Linked DNA regions of Ovis aries. The protein of the gene in region 1 binds, or shares a complex with, the protein of each later gene. Links are inferred from orthologs where the notes say so. Each region holds a gene or a part of one and is shown in the gene's direction. Other genes may lie near its edges.

Region 1 (4,164 bases):
CGACTGCGCAGGTACGTGAAGAGACCCCAAACCAGAAATAAACCCAACCTCCTAGCTCCTCTCTGTTGACTATGGAGCACCACCTGGGATGGTTAGCATCTCAGTGAAGCCTCAAAAAGTTTGGGTTGTTCATTTATTAATCCAATTCAACAAATATTTATTGGATACCTACCTTGTACCAGCTTTTAAAGAGACTACAATTTAAGAATTCCCTAAATAGGTCAAAAATAGCATGCACTGACTCCATCAGAATTCAAGATGTGTATCCTGGAGTTCCAGTTTCTGGAGGAACCACAGTTAACTGCTGGCCACTTTTGCTCCAGCTAGAGGAGTCCATGGACCACTGGACAGGATGGAAAGTTCCACAAGGTGAGCACCTTCCAGGGAGTCTTGCCCCATGACCCACAGGGTTGAGTCTCCCCATGAAGGACTGAGTGCCTAAGGCTGGCCGTATCTAATTCCATAACCTTCAGCTATGGTCAGGCCTTGGGCAGGTAAAATATGAACACCTTTTGTCAACCCTGAATCCTTAAGTCTCCCCAAGCTCCTGAGTTCTCCAAGACCCTTGTCCAGAGCATGTTTGTCAGGAAGATTTATTAATATTAACCAGAGAATTTGCAATGGAGGGTGGGGAGAGAGGGCAGAGAGGCTCTGCGGTGTCTCCACTGCCGTGTACACCACAGTATCAGCAACTCTCTGGTGGGCCAATTCACCTAGCTGACCACAGCACCCTGGGAGAGGTCTGTATTCGGAAAGAATAGAGCCCAGTGGACAAGCCACACCTTCCCCCGTCACCTTCCCCACCAGCTGACGTCTTTGTGAAAACGGCAAAGCTTCACGGTTCAGAGCCAGGCTCTGACGTCAGTTCCATGTCAGCTTGGGCCAGGTGCTTATACGCTCAGTGGTTTCTCACCTATAAAGAAGTAACAAAAGCAGTACCTATCCCCTTGGGTTGATGTGAGGATTAAGTGAGCTAATGGCATGTGGTGAGCTTTAGAGAAGTGTTAACTATGATCTTAGGGCAGCTGTGGGAGAACAGAGTCCTAGGACCATGACATCCTACTCAGCGCCACCGCCCGCACTCCCCCCGCCCCCCGCCAACCCTCCGCTCCCCGAACCCCGCCGCGGTATCCCAAGCTTGGCGCTGGAGCTGGGAATCCTGTGGAAGAAGGGAGAGAGGCCAGCGGTAGGAGGTGGTTGCGGGTTCCTGGAGGGTGAGGATACCCAGCGACAACCAGACCTGACCTGACACCTTGGGAGCAGCACTAGTTTCTGTTCTGCACCCTGCCCTGTGCCCTTCCCCGCCCCCGGGGCGGGACTGTAGAGGCATCAATTAAAGAAGGAAGTGGATCGGGCAGAGAGCACAACCCCGCGAAGCGGGAAGCGGAACCGTGAAGGAGCCTGGAGGTTGATTCCTCTCCCCGCCCCCAACCCCTCTTTCATCCGTGGGGGCTCGCAACTTCCAGAAGCTTCTCTCATCTTCCAGCCTGATGTCTGGCTCTGCGTTATGGTGAGTGGAGACTGAGATATGGATGCGCCTCGTGCCAAGACCAGGGCACAGTGCGTCTCACGGGAGGGGCTGGGGCTCGAACTGACAGCGCTGAGCCGAGTCACGGAGGTGGGCGCGGGGGGCGGTTAGAGGGGTGGGCCTCGGAGGGGAGTAGGGAGGCCTTGGGCCCGCGGCCGGCTGGTTACGTGGCCCCCCTCTCTCAGGCCCAGCGGTGCCTCAGCCCCGCTGGTGCCCATCGAGGAACTGGAGAACCCGGAGTTAATAGGCAAGGGCGGATTTGGCTCTGTCTTCCGGGCACATCACAGGAGTTGGGGCGTAGAAGTGGCGGTCAAGATCGTGAACTCGTGAGTGACCCGAGGTGGGGTCTGGTCCAGGAGGCTGGGCCGGGGAGGAGGGGCCGCTGTGCGGGGCGGGGCCTGGGCGGCGGGGAGGGTCGCTCGGGCGCAGAGCTGACGGCACCTCTCCCCTGAGAGCAGGAGGGCCATATCCAGGGAGGTGAAGGCCATGTCCAGTCTGCATAACAAGCATGTGCTGCTCCTGCTGGGGGTCACCGAGAAGCTGGAGTGGGAGTACGTGTCTGGGCCGGCTCTGGTGACTCCGTTCATGGAGAACGGCTCCCTGGCGGAGCTGCTACAGCCCCACTGCCCTCGGCCCTGGCCGCTCCTCTGCCGCCTGCTGCAGGAGCTGGTGCTCGGGATGTGCTACCTGCACAGCCAGAACCCAGTGCTTCTCCACCGGGACCTCAAGCCCTCCAACGTCCTGCTAGACTCAGAGCTGCACGCCAAGGTCAGCCCACCCTCACCCAGCCCATCTTCTGGACCAGGTCCTGCCCCAGAGCTGCTCCAACCCCATCCACGGGACATAGGACCCGCATCTGCTGCAGCCCTGTCTCCTGAATACCCTCAGCATCTCCCTCTGGACACAGGGCTGCCCAAGTGTCAAGGCCTAGCCTGGAGCTCTGGCCCCTGCCACACCAGGTGATGGAGGCCTTGACCATCACCTGACCATCACCTGACTTACCCTGGTCAGTTCCACAGGCCCACCCCACGGGCCTCCAAAGACCCGTAGCTGATCTATCCCAGGAGACTCAGACCTCAACCTGGTGCCATGGAGAGGGGACCCAGGCCTCCAGCCAGGGGCCCCACTGGTCCTACCCTTCCCCTAACCCTCCATACAGTCTTTGCAAGGCTGGGCCTGCACTTTTGGGGGGAGAGGAGTAAGGAAAGGGTTCTGGGAGTTTCTTGGACCTGCCCATTCCCTATCTCCTTCTTATCTCCCTTTTGTTCCATCCCCTATCTCCTCGTTCTTATCTCCCTTTTGCAGGTGGCAGATTTTGGCCTGTCCACATTTCAGGGAGGCTCACAGTCAGGGGCAGGATCTTGGGAGTCAGGGTGCACCCCAGCCTACCTGGCCCCAGAACTGTTGGCTAATATAAACCAGAAGGCCTCCAGGGCCAGTGATGTCTACAGGTAAGGCACCCACTCCAAACATATATCCAAACATATATCCCCAATTTCTACACCTGCCTGGGTCCTTCAAAGGGATGCTGTATGGAAAGGAATCTTGCCAGCAGTTGAGTCAGGCCTCAGCTTTGTGTCTACTGCAGCTTTGGGATCCTAACATGGGCAGTGCTAGCCGGAAGAGAAGCTGAGAGTAAGACAGACTCTGGGATCCTTCACCTCAGGTGCCCCCCTCCTCTAAGCCCCCAGTCTCCCAACCCCAAGCCCTCTTCCTCCTGTTTACCTGCTCAGACTGCCCCACTCCCTCCTCACATCTCCTACACTCCCCAGCCCTTTCCGTGATGGGGTAGCCTTCATACTCTGAATGCCTTCTCTTCACACCCCTACCCCCACCCTAGTAGTGCCCCAGACGTTGTTGGTGCGGGAAGCAGTGTGTGAGAGGCGGATCCGGCCCCCGCTGACTGAGCTGCCCCCGTCTGGGCCTGAGACTCCTGGCTTGGAAGAGCTGGCAGATCTGATGCAGAGGTGCTGGAGCCATGAGCCCCAGAAGAGGCCTTCCTTCCAAGGTGTGCTGGCCATCCGGCTGGCAGCTGAGACAGGCCTGAATTTGTCAGCAGGGGCTTCTCCCCCGGAAAAGAAATTTTGTTGACCTGCCACCCACTCTGCCTTCTCTCTAGAATGCCGAATAAACACCCAGAAAGCCCTTGATCTGGTAAATAAAGGAGATGCGCCTGGTAGAAAGATGAATGCCGCAGTCTACGTGGTGAGTGCTCACCCCCACCCAGGAGCTGGGCAGGATGGCAAACGCGGCCCCCTTGGCCACTCAGTGACCCCCCACTGACCACCCTTCTCTAAGCTTTGACCATGGTCCCCTCTCTCCTCACCCCATCCCTGAGTTCCCAGGCAACAGATATGGACCCAACTCCCTTGGGTTTACTCCGGCTCTCCCACCTCCATGCCCAGCCAGCTCCCCATCCCTACAGGTGAAGGAGTTCCTTTCTGAGTACAGGGGCAGCAACAGCCCAGGCCTGGAAAGGACAGAAATAGACAGTCCTAAGGAAACCACAGGAAGCCATGATTCCCTGGGCTCTGAAATGATGAAGCTGAATCTGGAGGGGCGCCCCAGCTCTGTTCCTGAAAAATGTACAAACCTTCTTGAGAACATCAGGGTCCCGAGAGAGCAGGTTCCGCCTG
Region 2 (4,305 bases), on another chromosome or scaffold:
CGTTCCTTCTAATTTGCTCTCTGTTGCTTTTGTTATTATAATCACCCATAATGGTCTGCCTCAGAATCCTGCCCCCTCTGCCTGACTGCTAAACTAGAGTGCCTTTGTTCAGAACCCTGCCCACCTGTAGATGGCAGGAAGGAAGAAATGAACACATCCCCTGCCTGAGGCTCGCCATTTGAGATGTTCGCAAGATTAATGGCCTTTTTACTTTGTTTCCTCATCTCCCTCCACCTCTGATCTGTGAAAGAACCTGGCATCCAGACCCCATAAGATGGTTATTTTAAGACAATAGTATGCCATCTTCTCGGTCAGCTGGCTCTCCAAATAAAGTTGTATTTCTTGCCTCAACACCTCATCTCTGATTTGTTGGCCTGTTGTGCAGTGAGCCGGGAGAACTTGGACTCAGGAACACAAAGATAACTTTGAGATAAGCCTTCGGGGCCCTTTCCATGGCTGTACTTATTCCCAAGTGCTTCCCTTTGCAGAAATGCTGCGGATGGTGTTCCCCTGGGAGCCCGGGACTGGCACCTACTCCTTGGCCTCAGCTGAGACCCTGAGCCCTTGACCCTCTGGGCTGCCTTGCACAAAGCCCTTCACCTCTGTTGGCCTCAGTTTCCCCTTCCGTCACCTGGACTGAGCAGGGTCTCTGAACTGTTTGGGGAGGTCAATGGCCCCTGTAAGAATTTTCAGAAGCGATGGGTCTTTTTTTCCAGAACCAGGTCAGTGGGTGCCCAGCTATGCTCATGGCTGTAGAGGTGCCTGAATTAACCCTTTTAGTCCTCGCCACCACCTCTTGAGGTCACTCCTTTTATTAGCTCATTTCATAGATGGGATAACTAAGACATAAATAGGTAAAATAATCTGTCCAAGGTCCCACAGCCAGTAAATGGTGGGGCTGAGTTAGAACCTGAGCATCTCTGTGATCTTGGACAAGTGGCCTCATTGACCCGAGCCTCAGTTTCCTGAGAAAAGAGACCCTAACTAGATCCTAACCTGTAGATGAGTCAGGGGCACATGAGGTTGGAAAGTACATAGTAAGTACTCATTAAACAGTCCTCCTTTTTTTTTTTAATTAGAGGATAATTGCTTTTTAATGTTGTGGTCTCTGCCGTACACCAACACTGTCGTTGGTTTGATATGCACACACATATGTGGTTTTGATGATCACAAGCGCTCAGCCACTCACCCACCCAGGTATCTTGGCCTGTGGCTGGGGGAGTCAAGGTGGACAGTGGTGGGAAATCCCCCCAGCCCTAGAAGAAGCTCTGGTCTCCTCCATCTCAGCAGCTCCCTACCAATATCTAGTAGAAGGCCTAACTGTGTCTTGCTCAATTCAGCTTTCGATTTTGTTTCTCTCAAAAACCACACATAAGAGTTTCATTTTCATTTTCTCCAGAAACTGATCAGGTTGGCTGCCTAGGGCCTCATTTCCGGGGTGTGAACAGCTGACAGCTGACAGCTGTCCGGATGAAGCTGGAGTGTCTTCACAGCTGCTAGAAGCACCAGCCTGGCCCACAAGAGTACACACAGCCTTGACCGGACCCACCTTATGCAGGCCCCAGGGTCAGAGCCTGCTGCTGACTCCAAGTCTCCCAGGCTTCCTGCAGCTGCTGCCAGCATGGCCGAGGTCCCTGCTGACCCAGGAGACACAGGTACTTTTTTCCTTCTAAGGACCCGCGGGAGTGCCTGGGCTGGACTTAACTTTTCTTCTGGTTCCTTTTCTTGGTTCAGATGACAACCATGATAGGCTAATACCTGAAGGCACCACCGTAACAAGAGAGGGAGAGAGCATTGCATCGGGTTCAATCCGTGTGCGTTTTGCAGGAACCCTCAGGGGAAGCCCGCTGAGGTTCCCACCTCACTCCCGAGATCACAGGCAGCACAGGTGAAATGACTCAGGCGACCACAGCTGAGCGTGGGGCCTGAACACCCGCCTTCACTTTCGTTTTGAGGAAGGAGGGAAGTTGCTTTGCTTGTATGTGGCTTTCCTCCTGCTGCTGTTCTTTTATTGAATGGCGCACACGAAACTTAACTGGCACTGAACAGAGCTGATTCCTAGGGTCCCCACCGAAAGGGTGTGGGCTGGGGGCTGAGGTGCTTTTTGTCTGTCTTTGTTCTGTGATCAGTAACTATCTGAACCTCACCATGATCTGAAGTAGTCATGAATCTCACCATTTCAAAGATGGGGAAATGGAGGTCACACAGCTGATAGGTGGCAGAATTTTGGCTCAAACCCAGGAAAATATGCTGTGTCAGGGAGGGGGGTTAACTGGGAGTGGCCCAGAATCCCAGGGTGGGTTCCCAGGTTCCTGTTGTATTTTCCCAAGGAGACTTGTCAGGGGCACTGGGTAACTGAATTTAACTTGTTCCCCAGCAGGTTTTCCTTTTAACTGATGTATCATTTATACCTCATCCCATTTTGCAATTTCTGGTTCAGCAGCCAGAAGACTCAGTGGGGGAGGCAAGCCCAGCCTTCACTGCATGGACCCCATTTCCTCTTTGGGGTCAGGGGACTGCAGGAGGAGGAAGAGAGAGAGGCTCACCCAGGAGCAGGTTTTTCAGGAATCAAAACTCTTTTCAAGGCTAGGCAAAGCATCAGTGGGTGGGACGGGTATGACAGTCTCGGGGGTAGTGTTTAGTGAGTGAAATTCAGGCTGGGTGACCCCAGGGGTTGTAATGCACATCACCTGCCCCCAGAAGAAAGCAAACCTTCCGCCCACAAGAGCAAGCCACAGTGCCCAGCGCAGAGCTGGCAAACAGGTCATCCCCTAGTGCTGCCCACTCAGAATCCAGCAAGAACCCAGAAGTCAAAGGGTTGGGCTGCTGCCCTGGGAAGGTAACTTGGCCTTCCCAAGAAAGGCCCTGCTTTGCATTCCCATGGTGTTCTCAGGGGCAGACACTTTCTCTCCCAGCGCCATGCACTGCTGGCTCTGCGCCCACCAGTTCTCTCACTCCCCACAGGGCAGCCGGCTTGGGTTTATGGGAGCCTGCCTGCGAGGAGTAGAGGCTATTTGGAAAGTTCCTCTTTGAGCCTAGAGGCATCCTGCTTAGGACCATTAACTCTGGCAGAGGGGAGGCGGAAACAGAGGCCTTGGAGGAGCGCCCATCCCCTGCCCAGGCCATCTGAGCACACATCTACCCAGGAGTGGACACTCACTCTTTCATCCAGTCCCTCCTCCATTCAAATGCTGTTAATAGTTCGTGAGACCCTACTGCATGCCTGGCCCATGGCTAGACACAGAACCACTACAGTGAACCTGGCAGTCACAGCAGCGGATCCCTGGGGACACTCTGCAGGGGACCCACACAGGACCAGCATCCCACCTGCTCAGGGCACTCAGGACAGCCTTCCAGCATTGGAGTCTGAGTGAGAACTCACACTGGACAGGTGGAAATGGGGGGAAGAGCATGCCTGGCAAAGGGAATGGCATGTGCAAAGGCCCAGGGGTGAGTATGGCTGAAAGGAATTCAAACAGGTTGGCACTTGAAGGGCAGTAGAGGGTGGGTAAAGATGAGGCTGGCAGAACGGGTTCTGCCAGCCAAGAGGAGGGTGGACTGGAGGGAAGCTGGAGTTGGTGGAACTTCTGTCATCGAGGGGATGCTGACAAGGAGTGGGGAGTGGAGGCAGAGGAAAGGAGAAGGGGTTGAGAGAGTCTGGAGCGGCACCACCAGGACTCCATGGTTGGGCAGCAGGGTGAAAGCTCTGTTTCTGGACGCCGGCTGGGCTTCTGGGGGGGATGAACGGTGAAACCCCCCCGTGGATGGTGAGCCCGAGGAGCAGATTCCACAGGGCGGGGTGGATGGGGGATAGAAGGCACCAGGGACAGGCCTTACTTCCCTGGCTCCTCTGCTCCGCCCTTACCCTCCTGCATCCTGCCGCCTCCACTCTCTTCTGCTCTGAGGACACCTGAGGGCTGACTGTTCTCATCTGTCCTCCAGTGCTCACACAGGCAGGGGACACTCGGAAGGCCTGGCAGCTCCTCTGGCCACCAGACTGTCCTGCCCAGGTCACTTCTGAGCAGCCCACGCGCCCCTCCCTGAAGACAAGGAGACACTGATGGGTGTCTACGTTAACCTCTGTTCCTCCGTCTGCCCTAGATCCCTCTCTGGGGGGCGCCTGACGGCCCAGGCTGGGTCGTGGGGACCTCAGTTCTGTCTCTGCCCCTGTCTCCCTCTCCCAGACCTTGAGCAGAGAATTCTGGAGGTGTTGAGGGATGCTGGCTCCCCTGTGAAGACCACCCAACTGTTAAAGAAATTGCAAGTGCCCAAGAAGAAGCTCAACCAGCTCCTCCACAAGATGAA
Region 3 (4,308 bases), on another chromosome or scaffold:
AGACTGGCAATTTAGAAACCTAATCAGTTAACCCTCAGATCAATCAAGTTGAGAGCCATGGGTGTGTACTAATGTTCAGACACTGATTAACCTTTCAGGGTTTTAGAGAGGCACAAAAACTTCATCCTGCCACTCACTAGCTGAAGATATTTGTCTAAGTCTTTCACCTCTCCAAACCTCAGCTTCCTTGCTCAAATGAGAGCAAAAATAGCATCCACTTCTGCGAATTACTCAGAAAGTGAAATGAACCAGTTTGGGTGGTTATACATGTGGCACACACAGAATTTTTATGCTGTTAGCTGGTGCCTGTAGGCCGCCTCCTTTTTCTTAGGTGACCTTCTGACCTCTGCACATAGGTCATCATGTGAGTTTAAATTTAGCACTCTTCCATCCACATGGTTCATTTCAAATCCTAACTTTTGGGGGAGGGAATAGTGTGTTATGGTGGAAAAATCCTTGTTTTGGATCCAGCTGGACTGAGTTCGAATTCATATATTCATTTGAGCCTCCGCTTCCTCCTCCATGACATGCGGGATCCTCTACATTGTTGGGAGAATGAGAAATAATTGATGTAAAGGTGCAACGTACAGATATTGCATTATTATTGGTGTCGTAGTTTTAAAATCTAGAAGATGTGAAAACAAAAAGGCAGAAAACTCTTTAAAAAATTCAAACAGTTAACAGAGGCAGAGGGTGGGGAGAGGGTGGAGGATGAAGAAAAGCTGGGGAGGTTCAGACTCCCAGAGGAGAGGTCTTCACATCACTGTCCCCTCCCCCCAACACTCCCCTCCCCACCAGGGGCTCAGCACTGGACAAGGATGGTTACCCCTGCTTAGGGCTGGGCAGGACCTCACCCCCTTTTGGTGCTGAATTTCCTCACAACTCAGCTAGAGATCTGTTTGGACCCAGGAAGAGTTCTTGCCAGATGATCTGGGGAGCTTGTCCACGGCTGCAGTGCTAAGATTCAGGCCACAGAACAGAGGAAGCATTTTTCTCTGCAGACCCCTTTCAAGCGAGAATGACATTTTACTGGCCACAGGCAGTCTCAAGTCTCTTTAAAAATTAGAGAGCTGATAAACACTAAATGCAGTGAGTAAAATGCTTTCCAATAAAACACGTCCAGCTTCCTGGTTTTTAGTTTGCATGTTGACATGCAGTTTAGTTGCATGTCTGTGGTCACTTCTGAATGTAGGGAAATTGGGCTTCGGTTCCTTTAAATAAGAAACATTTTCTGTTCAAGTGAGTCACCTCAGTTTTCCAGCTTTCCAAATCAAGTTTATTTTCTAGTTCTCTCTCTTCAGGAATTTTCTTTCTCTCTTCCTGAAGACCAGAGTTTGCCCTTCTGCTGGAAGGCAATGGTTTCACAGGTTCTCTTTCTTTTATCTCAAGATTTTTTAAAGCCCTGCGGAATTTGGTAGCAAATTCTGAACGTAGAGAGGAGAGAACCAGGAAGTGAGTCTTCCAGGGGCAGGCATAAAAGCCTGGTGGAGGCATCGAAAGTAAAAGTAAACTTCTTCCTGGAGGCGTTTCCAACCCCACCTCCTGTCTCCCCCTCCCGCTTGCCTCATTTCCAGGGATTTATCTCCAGCTGGGTTTTAAGAACGAGCCTCAGTAATACGAAGTGTGAAGTTAGGCAGTGTGGGGTCTTGTCGTCGAGAGTTTGGTGGCTGGGATGTTGCCAGGACTGTGTGGAGCAGGTGAGTGCCTGGTGCCCAGTTGGCTTCTGGATGCCGCCTTTCTCACTCGAGGACTTCCCGGGGAAGTCACCTCCCAGTCCTGCCAGAGTGCCAGGTTCTGAGTGGGTTCCTATCTGAACCACAGCCCCTGGCTTTGCTACTTTTTAATCTGAGGACGCGCCAGTTCCTCTGCTGCCTCGAGTATAGGTACACTGTCTCCTGCTGGTTTACTTTAGATTTCCCAGAAGACTTTATTTACCTTTTTATGTTTATTTTCTATACCACTTGTCCTGGGGCAGAGGGTTGAGTTGATCACTCAATCAGATCCCGATTCCCTATAAACCCTTGGTCTTGGGGACCCATGGGCCCCCCGACCCTGCCCTGCTTTATCCATTTTCTTGGATCTCCCCACTCCCCAACCTATCTCCTATCCTCCTCGCTGGCTCCCAAAGTGTGTGTGTTTGCTAGTCGCTCAGTCATGTCTGACTCTTTGCAACCCTAGAATCTGTACCCGCCAGGCTTCTCTGCCCATGGGATTTTCCAGGCAAACATATTGGAATGGGTTGCCACTCCTGTCTCCCGGGGATCTTTGCAATCCAGGGATCGAAACTGCTTTTCCTGCATTGGCACTTGGATTCTTTTCCACTGAGCCACCCGAGAAGCCGGCTCCCAAAGACAACCCTCCGCATCTTATGATACATATCCTTAATTGTTCTGTATCTTTGTGAAATGTACCATTGTTTTGTGTGTGTACACTGTGTCTTAAACTCTGTGACCAGAGCAAGAAAATAATTTCTCTGTACCTCTGTTTCCTCATCATTAGTGGGATTAACACTCCCTCAACAGGTAGCTGTGAGGATTTATTTGATAATAACAGCTTTAGCCACTTAGTGACTGGTGTTGCTCTGTACCCAGTAAGTGTTAGCAATTATTATTACATGTTATGTATTAGTATTCATATTGTAATTTGCTTGTTCTGTTTTTGACTTTTTATTTTTTATTTTTTGCAAGTAAGCACTCTGTACTTTAAGTTCTATGTGTTTTGCCTGCTCCCACTTTGTAACCGCTGCTTATTATTCCATGACGGACAGTCTCTACAACTTATATAAGGGCTATAGAAGAACTGGCCCACCAAGAACTTGGCTGGCTCCAGCTTGCAAACCTTTGCCATTCTGATAGGTACAAAGTAGGTAGCTCATACCTGCGTTGTATTCCCCAGCTTAGTCATGAATTTGAGTATCATTCGCACACTTTGGCCATCTGAGTATCTCTGTCAAGGAACTCTATAGTCAGATCCATTGTCTTTCGTCAGGGTTTCTTTTCCTTGTTGATCTGCAGGAGACCTTTGTATATTCGAGGTATTTCTACTCCTGTGGCACAAACTGGAAACATGGACATGAAAGATGTGGTCCCTGCCTTTGTGAAGATCACAGCCTAGGATAGGAACCAGCCATAAAACAGCAGGACAGATATTGGGTGGATGTATTTAGGAGGCTGCAAGAAAAGAGCAAGGGGGCACTTCCTGGGATAGGATTTAGCCACTAACAGGTTTTCATTCTGTGGCTGCCTTCTCACTCGGAGTTCTCAGGGCAGAGTCAAGGGAAGTTAAGGGCACAAAAGGAACACAGAACCCTTACCTAGCTCTCTGCAGGTGGAGGGGCATTTTCAGCTATCTTGTTAATCCTCTCGGCTGTGAAATTTGCCCTCTGAAAGCTAATACTCCATTTGGGGAAAGAGAACATGTAGTTTCAAAGAAGAGAGGTTTTTTTTTTTTTTTTTCCTCTACTTTAATCATCAGAAAACAACTGATGAGAGCCAAAAGGCAGGGCTAAAGTGAGTTTTGTTCTCTGTTTTATCTCCAGGTCCCAGTCCATGGTGAGGGCCCTGGGATTTTATTTTTCCTTTGGTGAGTTTGGCTGGGCCTTTTGGGAGGAAACAATATGATTCTAGAGTTTTCTAGACCTAGACTGCTGAGGGTGAGATCTTGTATATGAATGTAGGTGGGGGAAACCATGAGAATTTCTGTGGGGGTCAGTAGACCCTCTGAACCATAGTGAGGGCCCATAGTTCCAGAACTCAAGACCACTCAGGAGTGCTCAATGAGTATTATTGAAGGAAACCATTGAAGTCTTAATAATGAACCCATAAAAATCTGTATATTTCTGAAAAGGAAAAGAAAGGGTTCTTAGCTATCATTCAGTTCCTTTTTCCTTTTGGAATGTGGTACAGAAGCCCCGAAGAGAAAATGACCTGCCCAAAGTCACATAGCCAGAGGCAAGTCTCAGATGGCCAGCGTCCCCATCCAGCACCTACCTCTTATTCCACGGGCTCCTTCTTGGAGATGAGGATGCGGGTGCTGCCTGGAGGCTGGCCTGCCTCACTCAGCCTATGGTGACTCAGGAGTTTTGAAAACAGGAAGTAAGCGAGCTACGTTGTTGGTTCTTCATTTGACTCTAATTCCTGTCTTAGATGTACTGAGAGAAGAGGCCCGTGAAGTGGCTGCTGCTGTGAAGGTTCCAGGATTCGCCTCTGGTAAGATCTGATGGGACTTTGGAGAGGAAGGCCTTTGAATCTAGAACTCTCTAGGCTACTGAGAATGGGATCTGGCAGGTTCAAGGGCCCATAGGGTAAT

What was found.
Region 2: RIPK3 (region 1) and ZBP1 share a complex: the UniProt entries of both Homo sapiens proteins name them as parts of the AIM2 PANoptosome complex. The link is inferred for Ovis aries from reciprocal best matches to the Homo sapiens genes RIPK3 and ZBP1.
Region 3: RIPK3 (region 1) and CASP8 share a complex: the UniProt entries of both Homo sapiens proteins name them as parts of the AIM2 PANoptosome complex. The link is inferred for Ovis aries from reciprocal best matches to the Homo sapiens genes RIPK3 and CASP8.

The regions. Positions count from the first base shown.
Region 1 is NC_056060.1:20,648,137-20,652,300, forward strand, and holds the start of RIPK3 (receptor-interacting serine/threonine-protein kinase 3), read left to right. Parts: upstream 1-1,356; 5' UTR 1,357-1,490; coding exon 1,491-1,510; intron 1,511-1,713; coding exon 1,714-1,854; intron 1,855-1,986; coding exon 1,987-2,296; intron 2,297-2,333; exon of another isoform or gene 2,334-2,617; coding exon of another isoform or gene 2,618-2,833; coding exon 2,834-2,979; intron 2,980-3,116; coding exon 3,117-3,163; intron 3,164-3,368; coding exon 3,369-3,536; intron 3,537-3,647; coding exon 3,648-3,733; intron 3,734-3,953; coding exon 3,954-4,164. UniProt on the Homo sapiens protein: Serine/threonine-protein kinase that activates necroptosis and apoptosis, two parallel forms of cell death. Necroptosis, a programmed cell death process in response to death-inducing TNF-alpha family members, is triggered by RIPK3 following activation by ZBP1.
Region 2 is NC_056066.1:58,226,226-58,230,530, forward strand, and holds the start of ZBP1 (Z-DNA-binding protein 1), read left to right. Parts: upstream 1-1,498; 5' UTR 1,499-1,552; coding exon of another isoform or gene 1,553-1,655; exon of another isoform or gene 1,656-2,964; 5' UTR 2,965-4,060; coding exon 4,061-4,305.
Region 3 is NC_056055.1:203,615,566-203,619,873, forward strand, and holds the start of CASP8 (caspase-8), read left to right. Parts: upstream 1-1,501; 5' UTR 1,502-1,697; exon of another isoform or gene 1,698-3,058; intron 3,059-3,538; exon of another isoform or gene 3,539-3,582; intron 3,583-3,989; exon of another isoform or gene 3,990-4,083; intron 4,084-4,145; exon of another isoform or gene 4,146-4,208; intron 4,209-4,308. UniProt on the Homo sapiens protein: Thiol protease that plays a key role in programmed cell death by acting as a molecular switch for apoptosis, necroptosis and pyroptosis, and is required to prevent tissue damage during embryonic development and adulthood.